Linked DNA regions of Schizosaccharomyces pombe. The gene in region 2 interacts genetically with the main gene of each other region. Each region holds a gene or a part of one and is shown on either strand. Other genes may lie near its edges.

Region 1 (3,724 bases), on a different chromosome or scaffold from region 2:
GTTGTTGGCGGAAGACAACATTATCAATATTAAGGTTATAAGCCGTTACCTTGAAAGAATTGGTGTCAAATTCAAGGTCACCATGGACGGTTTGCAATGTGTTGAAGAATGGAAACGTGAAAAGCCTAATTTTTACTCTCTTATTCTAATGGATTTACAAATGCCTGTTATGGATGGTTACCAGGCATGTAATGAAATTCGTAAATACGAATTGGAAAACGATTACCCTAAAGTTCCTATAGTTGCACTTAGTGCGAATGCTTTACCTCATGTTGTTTTAAGCTGCAAAGATAGTGGTTTTGATTCTTACCTTGCCAAACCTATTACTTTGCAACACTTGTCCTTAATCATATCTGGCATACTTAATTATACGAACCAATCAAAGTTACACAAATGATTTGATATTTAATCTTCACTCACTTTTGCTTGTATTTTTAGAAAGGATCTCACTGTTTTAATGCTTTTATTTTTACTTTATATTTTTTCTTTGTTTTGATCAAAAGCTTATTTAGTGCCTATATTTATTTAAATTGACAACTTCTTATTTTGAATATTTTCCAAAATAATAATTATCTAAGCATCTCATATTTTATTTTATTAACTTTTTAATGCATTTATATTTCCAGCGCCCAGAACCAGTATAATAATATTAAATATCACATATTCCCCTTGTTTAATGTAATGTGTATTTTATTGGCAAGTTAAAAAAAAAATTGTATTGTGTGCTAATCAATCAGTTTTGAAATACAAACCAAATTAAAGTATAGGAAGCAGTCAAATAATCAATTCGAGGATACATTCTCATTGTTAAATGCAAACTTTAGGTAATTCGTAATTAGCTCTTGTAGCTCAGTGGTAGAGCGCTTGCCTAGTAAGCAAGAGGCCCAGTGTTCAAGTCACTGCTGGAGCAAATTTTTTCCCTTACCATAAGCGTAAATTATGCTACACTTCACTATGCATCACTACATATATTTGTTCACTGTGTAGACAGGATTTTTATTCTAATTCCAAGGGGAATGCTATAAGCCAGTCCAGAAAGAAAAAACAAGTTCTTGGTTGGTATCAATACCTTTCGTCGTACAAAGTATATTTAGTTCAATTACTGGCTTTGCCTACAACCGATTAGATAATGCATCAATACTTATACTACGTTATATAGTATTACTATTTTACATGTCAGCAATACTACACTAGCTACATGTAAGCTACGCAGTTTGGTATCTGATTTAAGGATACGTAGAACTGCGGTGAGTTTTCCTTGTGGTCTATTATATTACAATACACAGGTTGTATAAGTAGCAACTGAGTATAGGTATTGTATTAACTGGGTTATAATGTTACCTATCACTAATATAGCTCATAACTGAACTGAGGAACGAGGTTCAGTTGTAACGCTATTTATAATATTTCTAAATAGTTGTTATCAACGGGTATCTATGTATATAGACGGATAGTTACCCGTGATTATCAATAAACGGATCTTAGCTAGTATTCCAACATATGACATATAGTGATACGCAACGTAATGTATCATAGCGTAGTGTAGTATTGCTGACACTACAGTTGTGCAACACTCACTGTATGCCATATGTTAGGATTTTAGTTCAATCCGTGTATTGATAATTGCCGATAACCACCCTTTTATTAATTTAAATAGACTCCCACTGTTATGAACCATTAAAAAGATTATAATGAAGCCACCACTAAACCTCGTTCCTTAGCCCAACTATAAACTATTTTACTAATAGGTTACATTGTAACCCCAAATTTAGAATATCTTTAACGAGTTGCTACTTATTTTCCTGTACTACTGTATAAGTCGCAAGGAAAACTCACTGCAGTTTTTCGTATCGTTAAAATAGTTATTAAACTGCGTAGCTGGCAATTAAAAAATCACTGCGTTAAATGTTGAAGGTGATGAAAACTCGACTAACGAAATTTCTGTAAAGTAAGTTACTTCCCTTACCTACCTTGGCAATGCCTGCTTTATTAAAAATAAATAAAAAGAAGAATGGACAGACTAAAATAGACAGACTGTTTAGCAAAAGGAGAAAGACTTCTTTAGCAATTGAAAAAAACCACTCTAAAGCATCTATGTGTACTGGTCAATCACCATTAAACATCATTTCGTACAATGTTCCTCCATTGATTGTATTAAGAAACAAAACGATACGAAACTCTATAGAAGTTTTAGTTGAGGAAATGTTTCGTGACATTCAAATGCGCCAGCAAACGAATGTTTTAGTTGCACAGTGTCCGCGAATGATTGTGGAAACACAGTTGATAGGCTTATTTCAATCAAACTATACCAGTGTTGCTGAAGAGTTAGAACAATCTATACGTACAGGAGACATCCGTCGTCTTTACCTAAATAGATCTGACAAGTTCTGTGGTGAGTCTTGCTTAATTTTGCGACCTGAGTTTGATAAATTATTTACATACTATTTGTGCAAGTTCAAAGATCAGGAACATATTTATACGCTAATCTTTAAGTTGCATAAACTATTGATTGAAAATCCACTACCTTCCTACACATCCGAGGAGTTGAAATTTAATTGGGAGGAACGACGACTGCTGATTAGTATGGGCTTTCTTATTCTTGCTGGCACTGACTCTTACGGAATCTCATTACCCAACCTTGGCATTTTTACTCATATTTTGCGTAACAGCAGAAACGACTTGTCAAATTATTTAAAAAAGAGGCCGTACCGCGAAGTAATTGAATCGTCACTATATAATCGCAATGTTTCGGTAGCTTGCAAAAAGAAGAACGAAGCATTTTTTGGTTGGAAGTTTCGACTTTGCGACGCCATAGGAGCCGGACTGGTTGATTCGTTTATGACTACTTGTGGAAGAGCATTCCGTTTAACTAAAAAAGGACTTGAAATGAAGTTTTAAAACACTGTCGTCAGATAATTCACACATATTCGAGAACAATCGGATACGGTACTATTTATTCATATCATACACTTTCATTAATCAATCTTTACCATTTTTTTCCTCCCTTTTTTATTCAAAAGATGAGCATTATTTTATTCGTTCTACATTTCAAACTCGATTAAGACCTAAATTACAATACATTGAATTTTATATTAAAAAACTTATATAGTTATTATGATATCTATTTCGAATCGTTTTTGTTTATTTGCTTAGGTTGCTGTGCCTGCCGTATAGCATTAAAAATTGGCGTAGCCAATTCTGGGTGCAAGTAAAAATATCGTTTGGGTACAGTAGTGCTTTCAAGGTTTGCGAATGGACGACTATTGTTGGTATCAGGGATTTTGAGCTTGTCTAAAGTATATTGGGATAAGCGCTTTTTTCCTAGAATATTAAATGTATTTAAAGATAGCACGTTTCCCTTTAACGTTGCCTCCGAAACATAAGATTTAGCAGCCCAGTGAATTATTGCAGTCGACAAACTAGTAGTAGTACATGCTAACATGTTAATAAATTTGCTTTGGAAATTTTGGTAATCCGATTTCTTGATGAAACATACCCAAGAAAACCATCGACATTCTCGTTCCCAAACTTAAACCTCCTGCATCAAGTAAAAGCATCACTGGAGAAATCATATAAGTTAAACCTAATGATCCAATCGAAAACTTTTTAATGTTTCCTATAGCTTTTTTAAGTGGAGCATCATATACAGCTGCTAGACTAAATGATGTTGAAGCAAACCAGCGTCTTGCACCAAGTAGTATTTCGGAGGGCATATTCATTTTAG
Region 2 (3,930 bases):
TTAGAATCGGCATGAGGAGTTTGTTTGTAACCAGGATGTCGAGTAGCTTTGCTTTGCTAGTCAGTCCGTATAAACGTTATGGTGTAGGATGCGGCTACTCATGTTTGCATATATATACATATTTTATTTTCAACAAATTTTTCTAACTTTTGATATAGTGTCTAGTATCTTCTGAAGAAAAGAAGAATCAACCTTTCAACTGGACATTTTCTATTGAAATTTCTTTTACCCCCCTCTCTGTCTCACACACACTCTCTCTATTTTTTTTAAATACCCGTGTTCTCTACTTTGCTTTGCGAATTTGTACCTTTCAAAGATGTTTGCCAAAGTAGCTTTCAAAAACTTTACTCCCCTTAAGAGTATCGCTCCCCGTTCTTTTTCTACGACCTCCAGTCGCGCATTCAAAGTAGCCGTTTTGGGTGCTGGAGGAGGTATTGGCCAGCCTTTGTCAATGCTTTTAAAACTGAACGATAAGGTTAGTGAATTGGCCTTGTTCGATATTAGGGGAGCTCCTGGCGTTGCTGCCGATATTGGACATATCAATACCACTTCCAATGTTGTTGGCTATGCTCCTGATGACAAGGGACTTGAAAAAGCCTTGAACGGTGCTGATGTGGTCATTATTCCTGCTGGTGTTCCCCGTAAGCCCGGAATGACTCGTGATGATCTCTTTGCTACTAACGCATCGATTGTGCGGGACCTTGCTTTTGCAGCAGGTGAAACTTGTCCCGAAGCCAAATATCTCGTTGTCACTAACCCCGTAAACTCTACTGTGCCCATCTTTAAAAAGGCTTTAGAACGTGTTGGCGTTCATCAACCCAAACATTTGTTTGGTGTCACCACACTTGACTCTGTTCGTGCCAGCCGTTTCACCTCTCAAGTCACTAATGGCAAGGCAGAACTTCTTCATATTCCTGTTGTTGGCGGTCATTCCGGTGCGACCATCGTACCTTTGTTGTCCCAAGGCGGTGTTGAATTGACTGGTGAAAAGCGTGACGCACTTATTCACCGTATCCAATTTGGTGGTGATGAGGTTGTAAAGGCGAAGGCTGGTGCTGGAAGTGCGACCTTGTCTATGGCCTATGCCGGTGCTCGTATGGCCTCCTCCGTACTCCGTGCTTTGGCTGGTGAGTCTGGCGTTGAGGAATGCACCTTTGTGGAGTCCCCTCTGTACAAGGATCAAGGAATTGATTTCTTTGCCTCTCGTGTAACTTTGGGTAAGGATGGGGTTGACACCATTCACCCTGTTGGTAAAATCAATGATTATGAGGAGAGCCTTCTTAAGGTAGCTTTGGGTGAGCTGAAAAAGAGCATTACGAAGGGTGAGCAATTTGTAGCATAATCTTTTATGAATAACAGAAATGATATGATATTCTTTATGAATGTTTGTTTTCTCTTGCTTCTTTCGTGTGTGTTATTTCTTTTACTTTAGTCAAAAAGTAATCTGTATACTGCATTCATAGTGTAGGTATGAATGTAAAAATTATGTTACAAGGTTTCCTTTTATATGTGCGGTTGTATAGAAATTTCATATCTATTGAATTCCGTTTTTACAGTCGAATAGATGAGGGTTTTCAATATGCGGAGTTTTGCGAAAAGCGATGATTCAAATTTACAATAACCACTAAAAGAAAATTGTTAAACAAGTAATAGATAATAAGTTTTCCATTCATTCGACATTTGCGGTTCTTGAGTTGTTGGCCTTATTTATCTAGTATCGTTTCAAAGCCATCAATTTAATAAGGCCATGGCATATAAGACAGAACAATTGTTCTTTGATTAATTCTTTACAAACTAAACTTTGATAATGATATGCTACAGAACTTTCAATAGCATTGTAATATTAACTTCTCTGACCAACCCAAGTTGAACTTGCAAAAAGCCATCCATTACTTACATCTTAATAGAAATGGCGATTACAAGTGAAAAAAAGAAAAATTTAAAGTCATTGGATAAAATTGACATAAAATTAGTAAGAAATTTTTTTTTTAATTTCAAATTATCGTGCAATTTACTTACAAATAATCAATAGCTAGAGAAAACAATTAGAGCCCTGCTGCAGCACATTCGATCCTCTGATAAACCTATTGAAAAAGAAAAGGTTTATATTCAGGTTAATACATTCCAACCCGTTGAGAAAGAGTCGCTTAGAAGACCATCAAAAGTGTAAGTGAGCATTAATGATGAATTAAGTTTCCTGAAGTAATAAGATCAACAATAAAATTTTTGTTCTTATAATTACTTAAAACCTTAAGCTTCTACTGCTTGTGCAGAAATAAAGAGGTATTACGGTTTTGTTGATTTGCTAATAAATCAAGCTTGTTGTAACATTCATAGAATCGATGCGTGTTCTTCATTAAAATTATAAGGTACTAACTATTTTACAGATTCCTTCCGCACAGGATAATGCATGTAACAGATGCTTGTTTGATTGTGAAAGATTCACAGCAGACATATCAAGATCTGGTGGAGCAACAAGGGCTTGACGAAGTCATTACAAAAGTACTTAGCATCCCGAGATTGAAATTAAAGTATAAAACAATCCGAGAAAAATGTGAGCTACGAGACTCTCACAACCTTTTTTTGGTTGATGATCGTGTATTAAAATACATCCCCCTATTGATGGGGAAAGTTTTTGAACAGAAAAAAATTAAGCCATTTCCTATTTCTGTTTTACAAAAGAAAGAGACTTTGCGTAATCAAGTTGCTCGTTGTCTTCATTCTACTTATCTTAAGTTATCTGCCGGCACTAGTCATACCATTCTCTGTGGTTTGGCCACTCAAACCAATGAACAATTGTTGGAGAATATTACGACTGTATTGAAGTGTCTGCTAACTAATTTCATTCCGAAAGGGTGGTCTGCAATTGATAATGTTGCGATTAAAACAGCTGACAGTGCCTCTCTGCCAATTTGGACTAGTGACACCAATCTTGCTGCTCATAAAAGACACATTGTGCACATTCAAGATGCAAGACCTCTTAAGAAAAGTGAACTGCGTGCTCAAAAACGGGGTTCTTCTGGAGAAGGCAAAGGGAATAAGTGAAACTGACTTTCGCTTTCCTAAATTGAAAAAAAAAAGTATTTTAAAATAATTACCATTTTTCTACTAAGGCTAGAAGAAAGAGTTTTGACAATGTATTTATAAACACCATTTGACTTTGCCTGTTTCAAATTTCTGATACATTTCTTTCCTTCGATGTTAATTAGTTATGTGAAAAAGCTTTGAGTGGCTGAAAGCAAAAGGGATTTACAAGGGCACGTCTTTTATAAACGGGTATTTTGGACTGAGTAATAAATAAGGGTTTTTGTGTATAACAAGTGTCATGGACTATTGTCATGATTTTGGAACAAAATCTACACCGTCTTGTGTTTTGTAGTATTATTTTTTTCTCGTAAATAACATGTTATATTTACATAATCTATCTGCTTATATGTAGCTTGTTCATTCAGAAGGATTTTAGTACCTTTAGATACTGAAAGTAGTATATAGAGCTATTCTCTACCACTCCAACGCTCAAGCAATTGACAACATCCAAACTTGTCCAAAGTAAAGAAAATTTAGTGTCAAAATGTTTTCTTGGAGTATTTTATTTATAGTTTGCTTTTCTTTAGTATCAGCATTTAAAGATACTTCGCCGATTTTCTTATTTTCTACGAACTCGTATGTCCTGCATCCATCGATGGCATTATACTGTGTAAATTATTTAATCTAACTAAAAACAGCAAACTCCCCAAATCATCCGATGATTCTTCAATATCCACTTGCCCTATGATGTTTTTTGACGCCGCAATTGAGGCACTTTCGACATGCAATACAGCTACCTTAATTATACATCAACCAGGCCTTGAGGTTAATGATTTTCAGTTGGGAGCTTTTAAACATTTAAAGCGTGTTTCTTTGCAATCACCCTATAGCTTACTTCTTCCT

The links.
Region 1: mutations in SPOM_SPCC306.07C (region 2) and mug51 together harm fitness more than expected from each alone (negative genetic interaction), as found in Schizosaccharomyces pombe (one large-scale study listed by BioGRID).

Annotation. Positions count from the first base shown.
Region 1 is NC_003424.3:4,714,593-4,718,316, forward strand, and holds mug51 (variant protein kinase 19 family protein), read left to right. Parts: upstream 1-1,957; 5' UTR 1,958-1,977; coding exon 1,978-2,898; 3' UTR 2,899-3,121; downstream 3,122-3,724. Other genes in the region: phosphorelay sensor kinase Mak1, read left to right, coding at 1-397; SPOM_SPAC1834.10C (uncharacterized protein), read right to left, coding at 3,122-3,435, 3,497-3,719. UniProt on the Schizosaccharomyces pombe protein: Serine/threonine-protein kinase. Has a role in meiosis.
Region 2 is NC_003421.2:419,115-423,044, reverse strand, and holds SPOM_SPCC306.07C (U3 snoRNP-associated Cic1/Utp30 family protein), read left to right. Parts: upstream 1-1,874; 5' UTR 1,875-1,909; coding exon 1,910-1,972; intron 1,973-2,032; coding exon 2,033-2,166; intron 2,167-2,345; exon of another isoform or gene 2,346-2,387; coding exon 2,388-3,045; 3' UTR 3,046-3,416; downstream 3,417-3,930. Other genes in the region: mdh1 (malate dehydrogenase), read left to right, coding at 317-1,342; family protein BIG1, read left to right, coding at 3,572-3,663, 3,726-3,930. UniProt on the Schizosaccharomyces pombe protein: Involved in rRNA-processing and ribosome biosynthesis.